3 separate regions of the Mus musculus genome follow, and all the other regions are reported to be linked to region 2. The links are microRNA targets in miRTarBase. Many come from high-throughput screens and were not tested one by one. Region 2 holds a microRNA gene; each other region holds the end of a gene's coding sequence.

Region 1 (5,017 bases), not on the chromosome of region 2:
TTCTCTTTAGCAATGCGATGCACAGGAAGCCCAGTAGCATCTTTGAGGGTGGAGCGAAGACAGTTAAAAGCTAGGATATGGGTGGGTCTCAGATTTCTGCAGGATCCATGACTGAAAAGCGAGTCTTATAACTGGTCAGTAGTTAAGCTGTTTAAAACCTGCCTGCTCACTTTGGAGAGGGGGTATCTGACTTCCAATAATAAAAGGAATCAAGGCAAGTGCCCAAGTTAAAGCCTCAAAGAATTAGTTTTGTCCTCTATTTACCCAGATCCAAAGGCTCACAAATCATGACACATCTTCAGAGTAACTGTTAGAATATTCTAAGTGACCTGGTGATATGCAAAGCCTGCATCTTAACAAGGAGCATGCAGCTTGCATCAACTTCTTAACATTTTTCACTGAGACTTGGCTGAACTTCTTTACCAGGGTCCACAAATCTGTTGATTTTTCTATACTTTGCAGATACTTCTCAAATTCCCAGATGTTCCACTCACAGTTGCCTCATGACAGGCTGTTTTAATTATAAATATCCTTTTTAGGATTTGATATTTCATATTTTACCCCTTAGTGAGTTATCTAATACATTGAGCCCTAGAGAAGTGGTTCTCAACCTTCCTAATGCCACGAGTCTTTAATATAGTTCCTCATGTTGTGGTGACCCTCAACCATAAGATTATTTCATAACTAGTTCATAACTATACATTTGATATTGTTATAAATCATAATGGCAATCTCTGTTAGTCAGCATATCTGTTATGTGACCTACCCACCCCCAAAGGGGTTGCGATCCAGAAGTTGAAAACTGATGCTCCAGAGACTCAACCAACTCACGTCAACCAATCTCATAGAGAGTTCTTGTTTGGGTGATAAAGGCCAAGGTTCTCATCCCGTGTGAACTATCATACACTGAATCAATTAGCAGTCTCACCAGATAACTAGCTACTCTAGCAATACTCAACAATACTCGGTCAATATTTAATCACTTCATTTTTTATAAATGACTTTGTGACTTTTAAATTACAGCAAGTTCTACCTAATGTTGGATTTTTACAGAAGAGACAAGGTTTTTTGTTTTTGTTTTTAAATGAAATGATCTTTTTCAGATGCTGGCTCAGTTCTTTCATCCCAAGAAACCAGCAACATTTTTTTCAGTGACCACTTCACGATGGAGTCAGAGCATCTCATCTGAGTTTTAAGCTTTGTGTCTTCCTTCACTTCCAGGAATCTTGAGACTTCAGTCAGGATGTGATGGCCAACATGATGGAAAACTCACAAAAATCTTCCCTTGACACAGTACCACTTTTTCATCTCCAACTCCTTCTTTGTTCTCCACACTAAAGTTCCACAAATTCTCCACAGAAAGACCATCTCTACATATTTGATGCCACCACACTGACAATTTTGAATACATTACAGTTACACCCTCCATAAAAAGCCACATTAGAATAGATTTTGTCGAACTTTATGTTATATTCAAAGTACATGAGGAATTTGTGAAAACTGTTTTCTGGTCTGTATTACTGGGGTTTCTGATTAAGTAGGTTTGGGGTGAGAACCAAGAATCCTCATTTCTGTTAAGTTCCTAGCCTCCCATGCTGCTGTTCCTGGGACAGGCTAAGAACCACAACTTAGATTGTTCAGCAACGCTGCCTACCTAGTATCCTTCCTACCCGTCTTCTAGTTAAGACAGGCCAGACTCTTATAAGAATAAAGCCCTTTCCCATGCCATAGAAGGCACTTGTCTTTGACCTACAAATAGAAAAAGAACATGGATGACAAAGTAAGAAAACTCATGAGAATCTTGGCATGTGTTTCTAGATCATGGGGAAAAAAAGTAAGAAAAAGAAATCTGTTAAAGAAAGGAATTCTGGAAGACAGTGTCATTTATAAAATAAAACTACATAGGCTGGGTGAAGTGGTGCAGCCATGTAATTCTAGAAGTTGAGAGGCTGAGGCAGGAGCATTGCAAGCTTGAGGCCAGCAAGGGAAGAAAGGAAGGAAGGAAAGAAGGAAGGAAGTGATAGATTTGGAGGTACAAATATTAAACTGTATCTAATTGTTTAGCTGGTTCTTGGTTGTATACCATCCAAGATACTAGCTCGATTATGGGCTTAGGTATACAACATCAAGAACTAACTCTAGCTTAAATGTTTGGGACATTTGGTGATACTGTTCCCAGAAGCTCATCTTAGAGGAATAATCAAAACCATGGTTAAGCTGCTTGGTTTAATTTTTTTTTTAGCACTTGAAAAAAACGTACAGTAGTTTGAAGTCAGTCTTTGCAAACCTCGACAGAGGTCAAAGATTTCATTCATACGTACAAAATTAGTTACAAATTTTTTTTTTTTTTTGGCAATTTCATCTTAGTAACCCGTTTTATCCTATTGCCATTGTCCCAACCATTGAAAAAGTTTACAATAATTTACATAGAAATATCTTCAAAGTGCTTAAGAATAGTGATTGTTCTCTGGGATATGTACAGGTGGCCTATACAATGTATGTACAGGTGGGAGTCACTATAGCACAAGGTTCATTGCTGGAATATGGCTTTCTAGGGAAAGTGCATATTTGGCCAGAGATGGCAATACTGTCTAGGGGCTCAAGGGTTACAGATACTTGGTAACCACATCCAGAGCTGAAGTAGAATGTGGCCAAGAATATTTACAAAAGTAATATAAAAATGATCAAGTACTCAAACTTGATCCACAAAAAGATATCTTGATGTTCTTCCAGATGGGAGGAAGAAAGGAGACTTCAGCGCTGGCTCTGTTACCATTCCAGAGTAGGGTGTTATTGGTGTAGACCTCATAGACCAAGATTTGTTCAGAACTCAAGCCAGATCATCATCTGTGCTTACAACTGATATCTGCAGAGAAGACAAAGGTTCAGGTGAGCTTGGCGGTTACTCTACGGAGTGGACTTTGCTTTTGAGTAGGCCATTTAAAGACCAAAAGAGTTGGAGGTCAGAAACATAACATTATTATTTTTTTTATGTACCCCAAGCTGAAAATCTAAAATTCAAAAGGGGATTCCAAGTCTGAAATCTTCTGAGTATCACCATGACACTACAAAAGAAAAATTCTACATCTAACCTTATATTATTGGTTGTGGTCAAAATGAACATACATCAAAATGTCATGTAAAGTGTATATAAAACAAATGGATTTTGTGTTCAAACTTCTTATGTATGCAAAAACTTCAAAATCCATGCCCCTCTGAACACTTTGGACACCAAGTATTTTAAATATGGGATATTTAACTTGTACCTACTTGGTTGGAAAAAAACTTTGACTGATTCTGTTTACGGACTATAAATCTTAAAGACAAATGTGAAAAGATATATGATATGCACTGAACCTTACTCCCTGTTCCACCAGAGATCATGCAAGGACACTGTTCATGTTCATCATGGTTCAGTCAGCATGGTCCTGAAGTGGAGGCCAAATATGTACTTGAGTTTTTAGTGGAAGAACAAGCGATTGCTGTTGTTGCTCTTGTAGAAAGCTGTCTCTCTGGGTGGGATGGAGCACCTCTCCAAGGAAAGCACTTATTACTTTTGGCTAATTGAATCTTACTCAAGCTATTGACTTTCAGTCAACTCCTCTATCCACAATTCTCATGTGTCCACACTGATTTACCTTTAGGTATTAGTATGCAAGGAATCAAAGTTTACAAAGGAGCTTGTTGGTTCATACACTATTCATATGTCATTTCTATCATCTAAAATAAGGCCAGGTAGGACTTACCTCCCCTTCCTCTGTGGGTGAAATGCTTATTAACTGACTGCTCTCATGGACCAGACATTTAGTATTTAACAAGCAGTCATTGGATAAAATGTCTGGGATTCAATGCTCCTCCCCAGCCCAGGTAGCCATAGCTAGTGATTCTAGTCTCCTTGGAAGCAACTGATGTCAAGCCAGTGAATATAGACAAAGTATACTTACTGCTGGGTATGTGTGTCCTACAGAAGCGCTGTGTCTACCAATGTCTATCGACAGGTCCTCTTCAGTGGTCTTCAAGTACACAGGATTGTCAAAGTTCATGCTTTTCATGTTTTTATGTTGCCAATTCCTCCACATCAAGTAGCCACCTACTGCTGCCATCACTAAGAGCACTGAAAAAAAAAATCAGAGGTGACTAAATGGAGTCTAATGTTTATGGATCTATGGGAATTAACACTAACAACAGTTCCATGTTTTAGGGAGCTTGGACAACTAGAAGTTGGAATATAGATGAGACAAAGTTTTGAAATAAATTCAGCCCAGTGGTTGTGTGAATCTTTGCACTGGAGTTGGGGGAAGTACACCCAGGGAAGTATAGAGTCCTGAGCCCTAACCCAAGGCCAGCTACATAAAAAATTACAGAAGCCTTTGGCATGCTAGTCAAGTGGTTCTGGTGTGTTAGGTCAACCAGTAAGCTCAGTCGAAGGGGACAGTAAAGCAAAGTGCCTTCAAATTCACCTGCTTGACAGTGGCTTTAGAGATGCTTTTCTCTGAGTTTGAAAATACTTAACTACTTTTAATTTACTCTTCATGAATTCTACAGCTCATTCAAAAAGCATTTGACCATTTGCGTCTCTCCTCTTTGTGAATGACTATATACAATAAATGGGACTGGAATGAAACCCTTATTGGAGATACTTCCTCTAAATAGGGATAAGCAAGGTTAACATGTTCAACAGCCCATAAGATCTTGTAGATAACTGATGGATATTCACCATCAAGGGAAAGATGACACTGAAGAGTAGGTGCCAGGTAGGTGAGGAGGTAAATGGAATTCAGTGTCACATGTGTTAGGACAGCAAAAGAGACCACTGGAAGGTGGCTGTAGATGAACTAAAATTGTCCATAAAAATCTATATGAGAAGCAAATTTACTTACAGAGAGGAAGGATGGCCCAGGCAGCTGAAGTCCCTTTTGGGGGAACACTGACTTCTGATACTGCTGTGGTCACATTGATCCCTACAAGGACATACAAGTAATCAGTCTATAAGGATTTGAATTAAGACTTAGACATC
Region 2 (7,966 bases):
TCAGAAACTTTTCACTTCCTCCTCTGTCTCTTCTCTTGAAGTCAGTAACCTGAAAGTTAGACCAGCCTGAATCCTGCAATGTTTATGTTTGTTGGCCATTTTTGCTTTAAATATATATATATATATATATATAAATAATAATTAAAAAAAAGACGAGGAAGGAGAAGAGTCCTGGAAGAGAGGATAAACTCTGGGCCCCAGCAACGTTAAGGGATTAGCTAAGACTTCATGCTGTCCACCCTCTCTGCTCCTAATTACCATGGGTAATTGTGAGATTCTGAGACTTGAGCCAGTCTTAGCAGACTGTGACGTCCTCTGTGCTGATCCCATTTTGGCCGACACATAACGACCTGGGCTCTGGGCCCCGCACACAGGGTTTGTGTTCATCTCACTCAACCTGCCCTTCCAGCCCTGCCTCCAGCCTTGCTCAGTGTTGTTCTCCCATGGTTTCTCTCTTCCCTGGCACGTGTGACTGGGTAAAGGCACACTGTATGTCTTCTGGTGGCAAGGCCAGGACTTTGTGTGTTCCCAACTTGAGATACTTTTCTGTTGAGCTCCTTCTTTGAGTCAGAGGTTTCTTTGCCAAATGGAGACTGACTAAGCTCTCCCTGCTTGGCACCATCTCAGGGAAAGGTTGGAAGGACATACATGGAAGTGTACAAGTGGGTGTGGTTACCCAAGCTTGCTCTCCTACGGTGTGGGTTATGTCTTCCAGGCATATCCAGGTAGCCCTGGCTCATGCTCATAGTTACAGGGCCAGACCTTTCCATCTTATCTCCATTTCACCAATTTTCCTAAGCAGAGATGAAGTGTTTTGGAATGGCATACTTCACATCAGCACAGTTCCTTGCTCTGTGACCTAATGTAGTTAAAAAGACCCTCGAAATTGATCCCAGCTTGCACTCTGTAAGCCAGCCTGAGAAAACTGGGAGAAGTGGATGGTGAGACTCATGTGGTAGGTGACTGACAAGGTCCAGTGTGGCTCCAAGGATGGACTGGCTTCCGGGTCCTCAGATACATAAGTGAGGCTCCACTCCCTTGAACTTACTCATCACTGTTTGGATGGCACCCAGGGTACTGACTGAAGGGCTTGCAGGGGCTACGAGGATCCCCTTGGCTTAAAGTGACCAAGAGTTCAGCAGCTCTAGCTAGATATTTTGCACTCATTGTTTAAAACAAGCTAGCCCAAACCTACTAGTGTATCAGAAAAATAATTTATTCTTGCCAATGTTATCGGTCTGTTTGATAGAATAGCTGTCTCACTAGTTTCACATGAATTGGCTTTGGGGCTATTCTAAATGGAGGACAGGTAGGACTGGAACATCCAAGATGACCTGGGTCATGTTGCTAGCCGACCAAACCACTTCCCTCTGCTCCTTCAGCAGGCTAGAGAATATATAAGAGCACGCTATGAAAGCAGAAGCTGCAAGCCCTCTGAAGGCCTGGGCTTCTCACCACACTGTTCTTTTGTGAGTTAAAATCAGTCATCGTCCATGTGGACTAGCCAACACAGGGCATAGAGACAAAGGCATTGGAGACTCTATTGTGATCATGCACTGTTACGTGTAAGGAAAGTATAGGATTAAATAAAGCTTGGATTAGCCTGTAGCAATGAAAGATGCTACTGTAGAGAGCGTGTAAAGAACATGGGTGGGCTGGGCTGGGATCCCACCTCTGCCTTCTCCTAGCTATGATTTCCTCCCTCTTTTCCCCTCCCCTCCTCTCTCCTTCATTTTCCCTCCCTCCCTCCCTCCTTCCCTTCCTCCCTCCCTCCCTCCCTCCCTCCTCCTTCCTTCCTTCCTTCCTTCCTTCCTTCCTTCCTTCCTTCCTTCCTTCCTTCCTTCCTTCCCTTTTCTCTCTCTCCCTCTCCCACACCCCCATCTCTGTTTTTCTTTCTTATTAGATAGTTCTTAGTGTAACTTAGGCTTGTCTTCTGATCTTCCTGTCTCCATCTCGTGAATGATGGGATTGCAGATATGCACCACCACACCTGGTTTATGCAGGACTAGGGATCAAACCCAGGGCTTCTGGCATGCCAGATAAGTACTGTATTAACTGAGCCACAGCCTCGGATCCCTAATTCATGATCTTGATCTAACTATTTAGCCAGTCTGTGTTCCTGGTGTTAATATGCCTCCAAAGATTGGAAACAGGGTGAATTGAGTTAATATACGTAGCAGGCCCATCACCAAATCTGTCACTTTGTAGGTACTCAAATAAATGTTTGCTATTCCCATTCACCGTGTAGATGAATATGTAATAACGGGTGAAGTACAAATTTGGGTTTTGGTTTTCTAGTTCTGAGACAAAGAGACAGAAACTCTGAGGTCCAAGCTTCACGTGCCCAGGCTGAGAAGGGATGCTCTGTCAGAAGAGCTGTGGGCACGAACATGTCTGCTCTTGAATGCAGATCTTAGGTGTCTGTTAGGTGTCTGACCTGGAGGAGCCCGCTGTAAAAACTTCTCGCTGAAGAGCAGGTGGCCAGAGGCTAGCAAGGTGGGCTGGATTGTCTGGAGTGCTCCAGTGGAGCTTCAGTTTTCTCTCTGAGTGAACTTAAGAAAATTCACCCTCTTCAGAATCTCTTTTTCTTGTTTATAAAGTGTAGATCATCATAGTGCCCCAGGTAGGTGAGCTGAGAGGTTAGACAGGCAAAGCCCTACTATGGCCTGGTGCATTTCATTCAGGAACATTTGCTCTTATCATTAATCCTAAAAAACCATTAAAGAGATATCTTTTCTTTCTGGAAGACAAATTGTATACTTTTCTCAATGGTTTTTTTTTTTGTGTGTGTATACATATGTTCATGTGGGGATGTGGTTTAGGGTGTACATGTATATACATCCATATGAAGGTAAGGTCTCAGCATTGTTACTATTATTACTATTATTATCATTATCATTATTATTGTTCTGAGACACTGTCTCTTAGTGTGGAGCTCAGCAGGGATGGCTGACCAATGAGCCCCAGGGATGCTCCTGGATCCATCTGTTCCGTCAGTTGGTGAGGTTATGGAACTGTGGTGCCCATGCCAGGCTTTGGATCCACAAGCCGGGGGTCTGACCTGAAGTCCCCTTGCTTCTGTGGCAGGCACTTCACTTACAGAAACAGCCCATCTTGCCAGCCCAACTGTTCTGTCATGCCAGGATCTTCCTTACAAGACACCAGACTTTCAGAGTGGAGAGTAAAGCGACAAACCCTATATTTCGTCTTCTCCTTAGTCCATGCTACACTGCATTTTTCTAGATTTGGGGGCTTCATTGTCTTTATGATTTAACTCTCCACAGGTGGTCATAGACACCGAAGGATTTCCAGAAATCCATCCACAGGGCTCAAGCCCCCCGGTCGGCGTCTCTTTCAGCCCAACTCCTGCCCCAGCTTCCCCAGTTCTCAGGCCCGCTGTGGTGTGAAGTTAGGTTCACCAAGCGGCTGCCCTGGGAGAGGGGGAGGTGTGCCTCCTCTTCCCCCTGCATCTGCAGAAGTCTGATTTATGGCTGGAGGGGTTGGCCTAGAGCGTCTTAATTTAAAGCCCCTGTCAGAGGTCGTTACACAAGCGTGGTGCCAGTAAAAGCTGCTTCCCTCTCCCTTTGTTTCTTTGTCAGCTCTTTCATGGCATGAAATATGAGGGAGGAATGAGGCTACCAAACTGGATCTGAGAGATCTACCCCAAGCCCCCGGTGCAATCCCCTTGAAGCCGTGTTGGTGTTTGCCTGCCAAGATCTAAGGAAGGTGGAGGGGTTAACTTTAGGGGCCATAAGGGCTGCACGGGTTTTCTTTTTAAAATGTTGTCTGCGGTAAGGAAGCAAATGCCACGCTTTATTTTTTTAAGCAGTTAAACAAAAAAATTAAAATCAAGCAATAACATCGCCTAGCCCTCAAAATAAAACCCGCAGCAAAACAAAGAAAGGAAAAAAAAAGATCAGGAAGAGAAGATGGGGTGATTTACTGGGCAGGGTTGTCCAAGAAAGCGTCCGATAGGTGTGGGGCTCTTGCGAGTGTGTACACCTGGCATAGGGCCCCAGTCACTGTCTCTGTCTCTGCCTCTGCCTGGCTCTGGAGAGAGTTGGCTTGGCTACTTGGACGTGTTCACACGTTCCTGAAGATGCCAACTACAGATACCTTTCTGCATCCCTTGTTCCTACTCCTGTCTAATGGGAGCATTAATGAATATTAGATTCAAGCCCACTAGCTTTCTTTGTCTCCCTGTGTTGGAGGGCGAAAGCAACCAGGGCTGGCTCTTGCTTCACTCGCATTCGGGGTGTGGAACATTACCCTGCACAAGGGTGGTGGTCTGTGGTTCTGTCCTGCATGCCTGGCCTAGGGAGTGCCCCCTTGCATAGGCAATCCAGCATTCACTTGCAGGGCAGTCCGGCTATTGCCTCTTCTGAAGCCTGTAGCCGGCGTGTCGGCAGGGACAACTCTAAAACTGGAGGGACATTCCAGCTCTGGAGCACACTGCAGCTCAGAGTAGCCCTGATGTCCTGTCTGGATTGTTGCTACAGAGAGCCTCTGTGGTGAGAGTGCTGATGAGTCTCTGGCAGAGTAGACAGCCACGGGGAGGCTCCGGCCAGCCCTCTGGGGCTTTCTTTCACGTTGGCAGCATGCAAGACATGGGTGTCGGGGATGATTCACGGTTCTTTGGGGGCAGGCCTGGTCCTGGCTCTTTATTATGGGTTCTGGACAGGAGGAGGAGTACTCATCACCAGGAGCTGCATCTTATCTTACAGAGAAAGTCCATTCCTGTGACCAGGAAAGACAGAGTGCCCTGGAAGAGGCGCGGCAGAATCCCCGAGAGGGCATTGTGATCCCCGAGTGTGCTCCTGGTGGGCTCTATAAGCCGGTGCAATGCCACCAATCCACAGGCTACTGTTGGTGCGTCCTAGTAGACACAGGGCGCCCATTGCCGGGGACTTCCACACGGTAAGCCCGCTCTGAGCATCCTGAGACAGGGACTGGCTCGCCTCTGGTTATTCTGCTTTCATTGTCTTCGCTGCCCTACTTCTCACAGACTCAAGTCACAGGAGACTGAAGTCTCCTTTCCAAAGCAGATGAGGGTCTAGCGGAAGGGCCTGGAGGACCTGGATCCTGACCACCGATTTGTGGATTTTCGAAACCTACTTAATCTCTCTCAACACCAGTTCCCTGCTGAAAATCTTATGCACCACCCTGGTCTTGAAGTGACAACCCCCCCCCCCAAATCCACGTGCAGACTAGAGATGGCATTGTTATCACGCTTGCGTGGTTAAAATGACATGCCTGAACATGTCTCAATGGGAGCATGTGTACTGGATTGTCTTGTAGCTTCCAGACAGTTCAGGGACTGTTTTACTTTCCTTCCCAAGGGCTCTAGGCTTAGTGAAAGCACAGGTTGTTGCTGGGCAGTAGTGGCTGAAGAAGACTCAGTTGCCAACCCCCTCAAAACGCCTCACTTCTCTGTCTCTCCCATAAGCTATGTGATGCCAAGTTGCGAGAGTGACGCCAGAGCCAAGAGCATAGAGGCCGATGACCCTTTCAAGGACAGGGAGTTGCCAGGTAGGCGACACAGCCCTGCCCGGGCTGCACCGGCAGTTCTTTGGGCTTCTCATCTCTCCCCTGTGCAGGTCCCACTCTCTCCTCTATGTCTGTTTTCCCAATTGGCAGCACAGAGCAAGGCATGCTGGGAAGGCTCATCATAGGAGCACAGACCTGGAAACTGTGGAATCTACAGCCAGTCAGTCCTGTGCCCTTGAAAACACTGTTCTCTTCCCTTGCTCTTTTCTCCTTGTCTTAAGAATGTAGTCAGGGACTTAGAGCTCTGTCACTGGAGTGTCACGGTCATTTTCTAAGTCAGTGAAGTGGGGATGGCATTTTGGGAGGCTGTAAAGCAAAGATAGCTTACAGGGAGTGGCTTCCTTGAGGGGCCTGTCTGGTGTCTGTCACCTGTTCTGTGGATTGCTTATATGATGACCCTTGATGACACAGGGTGGCCACTAGGGGTGATATGAGACATACCGGCAATAGCTCAAGACCCCAAAATTGATGCTGTGGGTGGGTTTTTCCTTATTTGTAGGAAACTCCAAGTGGCAATAAAAATTCTAAATACAGGCTATGTGGACTGTGGACTTTCCCCTGTAAATCCTCTTAAGCTCCTCTTCTTTGTGCACCATTCTAGAAAAAGCCTAAGCACAGAGAAATTTTCTCACGGGTGACCCTGTCTTAGACCTACACACACACAGGAGAGCATTGTTAGAGAAAACACCCCCATGCCTCTATGTAGGTGGGAGCTAAGTTAGTGATTGATAGCTGTTTTTACTCAGTACAAGATTAGGTCTGTCCTGGTGGGAACTGGTGCCACCTTCCTATTACCTGGCAAGACTCCAAAGTGAGAAGCAGGGAGTCCTGAAAGTCTGGGACTTTCTGTGTGAGGTTAGTAGAAATCACAGTGTCACAAAAGTTGAGGCAGGGAGGCCAGGGTGCCTTCTTGTAGCCACCCCAGGTCAGACGGAAATGGCCCTTCTATTTCATGCCAGATACGGCTTAATCTAGTCCTCAAAGACACGAGGTTCACAGAGTAGAGGAGACAAGTCATAGGCAGGTAAAGGAAGACATGCACATATAGATTCAGGACAGGTTCCCTCCAGAGAAGAGTGAGGTGCTATGGGAAAGACAGCAAGAACCTACTGAGTCCACACTGCTCTGAGAAGTCGTGTTTAAGACCTGGAAGGTTGGAGAAATGAGGGCTTAGTTGCTGCAGGTGTAGGGGTGGGGCTGTGGCTATGCTAAGGGCACATTTGATGCAGGCGAGTAGGGCTCCCATCTCTGCAGTGGTAGGGCAGGGTTTCCCCAGCAATGCTTCTCCTTGTGGCATGGATCTGAGACAGGAGCATCTGTGCTTGGGCTTTTGCTGAAATAATGAAACAAGAATAGGAACTCATGGGTCCTCACAGAGGAGTCTACAGTTACCATCTCAACTGGATAAAGGGGGGGGGGCAAGAAGAGGAGCGCTTGGATATGTTCACTTAAACCACAGATTCCCCCCTTCCTTGTCCTTCCTTGACATCAGTTCTTGTCCCCAGATCAGAACAGTGCCTGCCTGGTTATTGTCTTGAGTACACTGGCCCAGGATATTATGGTGAACTCTGTGAGGCGGAGGGCCCTGTCTGTTGTCTTCCTGGCATTTCCGTAGTTCCTGCGCTGGTCCTCAGCAGAACTCTGTGGGATGGAAGCAAGCTGAAAGCTTAATTACCTTCTGGTGCTTCTGTGTGGCTTATGCATAGACGATAATGGAGGCCTATGGAGGTCATTTGAGCACTGAACACATCCTCAGTCTCTGGCTAGACAAAGACTCTGAGGGGGTGGTAGCTGAGGAAGGTGTTGCCTTGGTAAGTTACCTATGTTCTGCCCTCAAATCTCCTCTTGTCTTTTAGGTTGTCCTGAAGGGAAGAAGATGGAATTTATTACCAGCCTGCTGGATGCCCTCACCACAGACATGGTTCAGGCCATTAACTCAGCAGCGCCCACTGGAGGTGGGAGGTGAGAATGTGAGCAGGAAAGGGTGGCCCTGGATTCTTCAGATACTAAGGGGGGCCTGGGAGAGAAGTCTGCTTTTCTCTGGAGCATGTGTAACCCCCAATGGCCATGATTTTGCTGTGATCCTCCTGCCTCTGCCTTCTGAGTGCTGGGATCACAGGCGTGTGCAACCACACCTTGAGAAATAGGAGCATTTCAGTCAAGAGGTATCACATCTCAGCCAGTCAACATGGTTTTCATCCAGAGGATGCATGGTACAGTGTCATGCTCTTAGAATCCCATTAGGAGGACAGAGCTTATATATTCAGGGTTCTTACATAGACAAGAATTTTAAAATAAAGGGAAGGGAAAAGGATGGTACACTAGCTACTAGCTATATTTCTTTAAGATCCTTTAAGCACTCCAGGTTCCCATGAGCTCACAGGTTAGCTTCTGGCCATGGCTCTGTTTCCTCTTACCT
Region 3 (5,017 bases), not on the chromosome of region 2:
AAGTCTAGGGAGAACGGGGTGGAATTTAATGAGAACAAAGTCAGCTAGCTGGCTGTGCAGCATGGGGCTCCAGAGATGGGCCTGTGGGGAGTCTGCCGGGGGGTGGGGGTGGGGGAATGGGTGCCCTGTGCTGGGCTGCCTGACAGGCCTGCCTCCTTCCTTCTCTCCCTCTATCTCCCTTATAGTCCCCAGACTCGGAGGAGCTCCCCTGTTCCAGTGAGAACAGCCGTGAGAACCTGCTACATCAGGCCATGCAGAATTCTGGCATCGTCCTTGAGAGGGTTGCTGGAGAGGAGAGTGCTCTGGAGCCAGCCCCTCCCTCTGGGTCCAGTCCCCAGTGCCTGGGAGATGGGTCCCCTGAACTGCCTCTGCTGAAGGTGGAGCAGATAGAGACAGTAGGTTTCTGTTACTGTCTTGCTCCCTCTGACGGGGCTGACCCAATGTTTGCTTCTCATGTGGGGGTGGGAGCTGCTAGCTGCCTCATTCATTTTTATTTAGTTTTTTTCTGTCTTTGAGAAACAGTCTAGTGTAATCCAGGTAGCCTCAAATTTACAGTGTAGCCAGTGTTAACCTCAGTTCTTGGTTCTCCTGCTTCTACTGGGTACTGGAATTGCAGGCTGCACCACCATGCCTGGCTTGAAGAGTAGCATTTCTTTCTGCTTTACTGCTCTCTAGACTGTTAACTCCCTTACCTAAAGCCTGGAGGGAAGAGGGCTGACTGTTGCTTTTGGTACCATTGAAGCGTAGCTTACAGTAGGTACTAGAGGTTGGTCTGTGGTCTCCCAGCAGGTGGCCAGTGAGGCCGCCACCGTGCCCAGGACCCACCCGTGCCCTCAGTGCAGTGAGACTTTCCCAACAGCAGCCACGCTGGAGGCCCACAAGAGAGGTCACATAGGTGGGTAGCAGGGAGGTGAGGGGTCCGTGGGTAGGGTGGTCCCGTGGGCTGGCAGCTGGTAGGCTTGTGGGTGGTGAAAATGCCCTGACATTGGGTATGGCTTCAGCGCCGAGGCCGTTCACCTGCACACAGTGTGGCAAGGCCTTCCCCAAAGCCTACCTGCTCAAGAAGCACCAGGAGGTGCACGTGCACGAGCGCCGCTTCCGTTGTGGAGACTGTGGGAAGCTTTACAAGACCATCGCTCATGTGCGGGGCCACCGGCGTGTTCACTCAGACGAGAGGCCTTTCCCTTGTCCCCAGTGCGGCAAGCGTTACAAAACCAAGGTGGGCTGCGGTCCTGCAGAGATCCTTATACCCAAACCACCCTCCGCTGTCTAATGCCCTCTTCCTAGCCTAGTCTGTTTACTCTTGGCCTCAGACCTGGGGGTGGGGTACGGTGGAGAGCAGGCTGTCACAGAAAGGTCTCCCTAGAATGCCCAGCAAGTACACTTCCGGACACACCTGGAAGAAAAGCCCCACGTGTGCCAGTTCTGCAGCCGAGGCTTCCGGGAGAAGGGCTCTCTGGTGCGGCATGTGAGGCACCACACAGGCGAGAAACCTTTCAAGTGCTACAAGTGTGGCCGTGGCTTCGCGGAGCATGGCACACTCAACCGGCACCTGCGCACTAAAGGTTTGAGCCACACGTGGCAGGAGAGGGTGAGGGCGTGAGGGCTGGGGTCAAGTGGCCCAGACTGGGCTGACCATCTCTGTTGGCAGGGGGCTGCCTGCTAGAAGTGGAGGAGTTGCTGGTGTCTGAGGAGAGCCCTTCTGCGGCTGCCACTGTGCTTGCAGAAGACCCCCACACCGTGCTGGTGGAGTTCTCGTCTGTGGTAGCTGATACCCAAGAGTACATTATTGAGGTAGGTATAAAGATGGTGGGGCAGGTTTGGACTCGGGACAGCCCATGATGACCTCCAGTCAACTGTCCAGGCCACTGCAGATGACACAGAGACCAGTGAAGCCACCGAGATCATTGAGGGCACGCAGACAGAGGTGAGGGTCTGGGTGAGGGATGGGAGGATCACCGGACTGCTGGGCAGCCCCTCAGGCTGAGCCATGCTCTCTGCAGGTGGACAGTCACATCATGAAGGTGGTCCAGCAGATCGTGCACCAGGCTGGTGCTGGGCACCAGATCATCGTGCAGAATGTCACCATGGACCAGGAGACAGCACTGGGTTCGGAGGCAACTGCTGCAGACACGATCACCATTGCCACTCCTGAGAGTCTTACTGAGCAGGTGGCCATGACACTGGCTTCAGCGATCAGTGAGGGTACTGTGCTCACAGCCCGGGCAGGTCCAAACAGTACTGAACAGGCCACTGTGACAATGGTGTCATCAGAGGACATAGAGATCCTTGAGCACGGAGGAGAGCTGGTCATTGCTTCACCAGAGGGCCAGCTTGAGGTACAGACGGTCATCGTATAGTTTGAGGGCCTCTGCTGTGGAAGATCGAGGACCCTGAGTGTCTGCCCGCACTTGCCTGGTCAGAAGACTTCAGGCAGCCAAAGGAGAGAGAGAGAGAGAGAGAGAGAGAGAGAGAGAGAGAGAGAGAGAGAGAGAACAGGCAGTTTTGGGATTGTTTTTGTTTGTTTGTTTTCTGCTTTACAATAAAACATAAAAAACCTGCAGTTTGTTGTGATTGGGTAGAGGCAGCCTCTGGGGCTGGCACAACTGCCTTCATAGGTACCCTCTGGACACACTTGCCTGCTTAGGCCACCCTCTAGCAACACTCTTGGCTTCTAGCCCTGGTGGCGCCTCAAGGCGCGTGGGTGTCTCTGGCATGTTGACAGACAGCCTCCTACCCTACCTAGCTGGATCTGTGACTCCAGTTTTCCCAGGTCTGCTAGGGTATGAGGTGTTCCTTCTCAGCTTCCAAATCTGGGACTGCCAGGGGCTATGAGGTTGGTCTAGAGACCTAGGAACTTGGGTCAGCCCGAGTAGCTGATGCTTGCTTCTGTGATGGGCCAGTGTTGGAGAAGCAGCAGGAGATGGCAGAGCAGGCTAGGGCTGGGCTTTCTTAATTTCTCAGCCTGCTTCCCTGAGGGGATACAACTCTAGGAAGAAAGAGAAGTTGGCCATGGGCATGGCTGTCCCTTTCGGTATAGTGTTGAGGTGGCTAGGGGTTTTTGCCCTGATTTTCAGTTAATGGAAATGGCTTAGCATATGCTCTGTCCCTTGCCCTCTTGGGTCTCTGGAATGGGAGCCAGTTCTGGAATCCACCCCATGGAAGGGGTGGTTCCCATTGTAGCCCAGCCCCTTCCTGGTCCAGGGCATCAAATACCTGAGTGCTTTAAAATCAGAGCTATTGTGGGTCCAAGACTGCAGTTCATCTTGAGCCATCTTAGGCCCTCAGTCTGGACTGAATCTCACTGACTTGGGATATTTTATTCACAGCCCAGGTAAGTCCAAGGGGCTGGGCTGGGCCAGAGACTGCATGGAAATCGAATCTTTCCAGCCTTGCAATGACATCACTGTCCCCATACACACTGGAGAAACACGGGAGTGTGTCGGGCTGCAGGCCAATCCTGGGTGCCAGATCTAGTTGGTTACAGACATGCTGTGACTTGGTATGGTTTGGTGTTACTCTGGGACATTTCTGTCTCGAGGTTTTCTGCTTTTGTCATGGGTTGGCCCTGGGCCCCGCTGACAGCAGTTTGGGCACTGGGGGTCATGGGAGCCACAGCGCTGCGGATTGGAGCCTTCAATGTTCAGAGCTTTGGAGACAACAAAGTGTCAGATCCAGACTGTGGCAGTGTCATAGCACAGGTGAGGCCAAGTGGGGTGGGGATGGGCTGGGAGCAATGGAGGGTGAGTGAGGGAGGGCTTGGGAAGTGGGGAGCAGATGGGAACCAGGAGCTAGGCTCTGGGCAATTAGGCTGATTGGGACGGTGCATCTGTGGGTTTTCCTCCAGATCCTGGCCGGCTATGATATCGCCCTGGTGCAAGAGGTACGAGACCCAGACCTAAGTGCAGTGTCCTTGCTCATGGAGCAAATTAACAGGTGTGGCAGGGCTGGGCCCCACAACCCCAGCCAAGATCACAAGCTTGGTTCGGTGCCTTGACCCAGGGACTGGCGTCTCTCTCCGCAGAGTGTCCAAGCACGAGTACGGCTTTGTGAGCAGCAAGCCACTCGGACGTGACCAGTACAAGGAAATGTACCTGTTTGTTTACAGGTGAGAGGCGGGTTGCGGGGAGGGGACACATTGGGGCAGAGGTAAGCAGCTCCAGACATCTTGTTCTCTGCTGCTCCCAGGAAAGATGTAGCGTCAGTGGTGAGCACGTACCAGTATCCAGACCCAGAGGACGCTTTCAGCCGGGAGCCTTTTGTGGTCAAATTCTCAGTTCCTAGCTGTGGTGAGTTGATACTGCCCTCTCCCAGACAAGCCTACCTCTTCCAGGCTTCCCTTGACCCTCATATCCCCCCACCTTCCACAGCCACCAAGGAGCTGGTGCTGATCCCCCTCCATGCAGCACCACACCAGGCGGTGGCAGAGATCGACGCGCTCTACGATGTGTACCTTGATGTCATTGACAAGTGGAACACTGATGTAGGCAACACCCCCCCCCCCGCCCCCAACTCACGTCCCAGACCACAAGTGTTCTCAGAGGTCTGGACTACTGAGCACTGCTAAGATGTACTGGCTGTGCTTGCCTACAGGACATGCTGTTTCTGGGTGACTTTAATGCCGATTGCAAGTACGTGAAGGCGCATGACTGGCCATCGATCCGCCTTCGAAGCAGTGAGGTGTTTAAATGGCTCATCCCAGACAGTGCGGACACCACAGTGGGCAACTCAGACTGTGCCTATGACCGGATTGTAGTGAGTGGCGCCCATCTGCGCAGGAGCCTGAAGCCCCACTCAGCCTCAGTTCACAACTTTCAGGAGGAATTTGACCTAGATCAGACCCAGGTGAGTGTGGACAGGGCTCCAGCAGACATACTAGTCAGCCCCCTCAGGAGAGGGCTCACAGAAATGCTCACCTGCTGGGAGTTTACACTGATGCTTGCTCTAGCAAAAGCAATTATCGCCAAGGGTCCTTAGAGTGCCAAGCCCCCAGGAAGGGACTGTTGGCACACTTCTG

What was found. Region 2 holds the annotated microRNA mmu-miR-3067-5p (AGUUCUCAGGCCCGCUGUGGUGU, at 3,383-3,405, shown strand). A microRNA usually pairs through its seed, bases 2 to 8, with sites in the 3' UTR of a target mRNA and lowers its output. Matches are read on the target gene's strand: a 7mer-m8 pairs with bases 2 to 8, a 7mer-A1 pairs with bases 2 to 7 and ends in A, and an 8mer does both.
Region 1: the mRNA of Vldlr is a reported target of mmu-miR-3067-5p. Seed matches in the 3' UTR shown: 7mer-A1 at 2,462-2,468, 7mer-A1 at 1,324-1,330, 7mer-m8 at 879-885 and 7mer-m8 at 603-609.
Region 3: miRTarBase lists E4f1 as a target of mmu-miR-3067-5p. Seed matches in the 3' UTR shown: 7mer-A1 at 2,492-2,498.

Annotation. Positions count from the first base shown.
Region 1 is chr19:27,246,954-27,251,970 of GRCm38, reverse strand. It overlaps Vldlr (very low density lipoprotein receptor), which reads right to left. Exons shown (of 18, transcript NM_001161420.1): 16 at 4,881-4,961; 17 at 3,945-4,114; 18 at 1-2,866. The coding sequence ends at 2,831. All of the region lies in intron 3 of Gm35438 (a long non-coding RNA gene), which reads left to right. Among named protein-coding and RNA genes, the nearest start is that of Vldlr, 32 kb to the right of the region's middle.
Region 2 is chr12:81,162,783-81,170,748 of GRCm38, forward strand. It overlaps Mir3067 (microRNA 3067), which reads left to right and starts at 3,369; the gene lies at 3,369-3,452. It overlaps Smoc1 (SPARC related modular calcium binding 1), which reads left to right. Exons shown (of 13, transcript NM_022316.2): 8 at 4,725-4,917; 9 at 5,447-5,529; 10 at 7,404-7,509.
Region 3 is chr17:24,441,324-24,446,340 of GRCm38, reverse strand. It overlaps E4f1 (E4F transcription factor 1), which reads left to right. Exons shown (of 14, transcript NM_001301784.1): 8 at 186-395; 9 at 787-895; 10 at 1,002-1,219; 11 at 1,367-1,565; 12 at 1,652-1,794; 13 at 1,865-1,927; 14 at 2,004-2,563. The coding sequence ends at 2,360. Dnase1l2 (deoxyribonuclease 1-like 2) reads left to right here and starts at 3,240. Exons shown (of 8, transcript NM_025718.3): 1 at 3,240-3,334; 2 at 3,542-3,701; 3 at 3,848-3,936; 4 at 4,025-4,108; 5 at 4,189-4,289; 6 at 4,371-4,483; 7 at 4,594-4,845. The coding sequence starts at 3,558.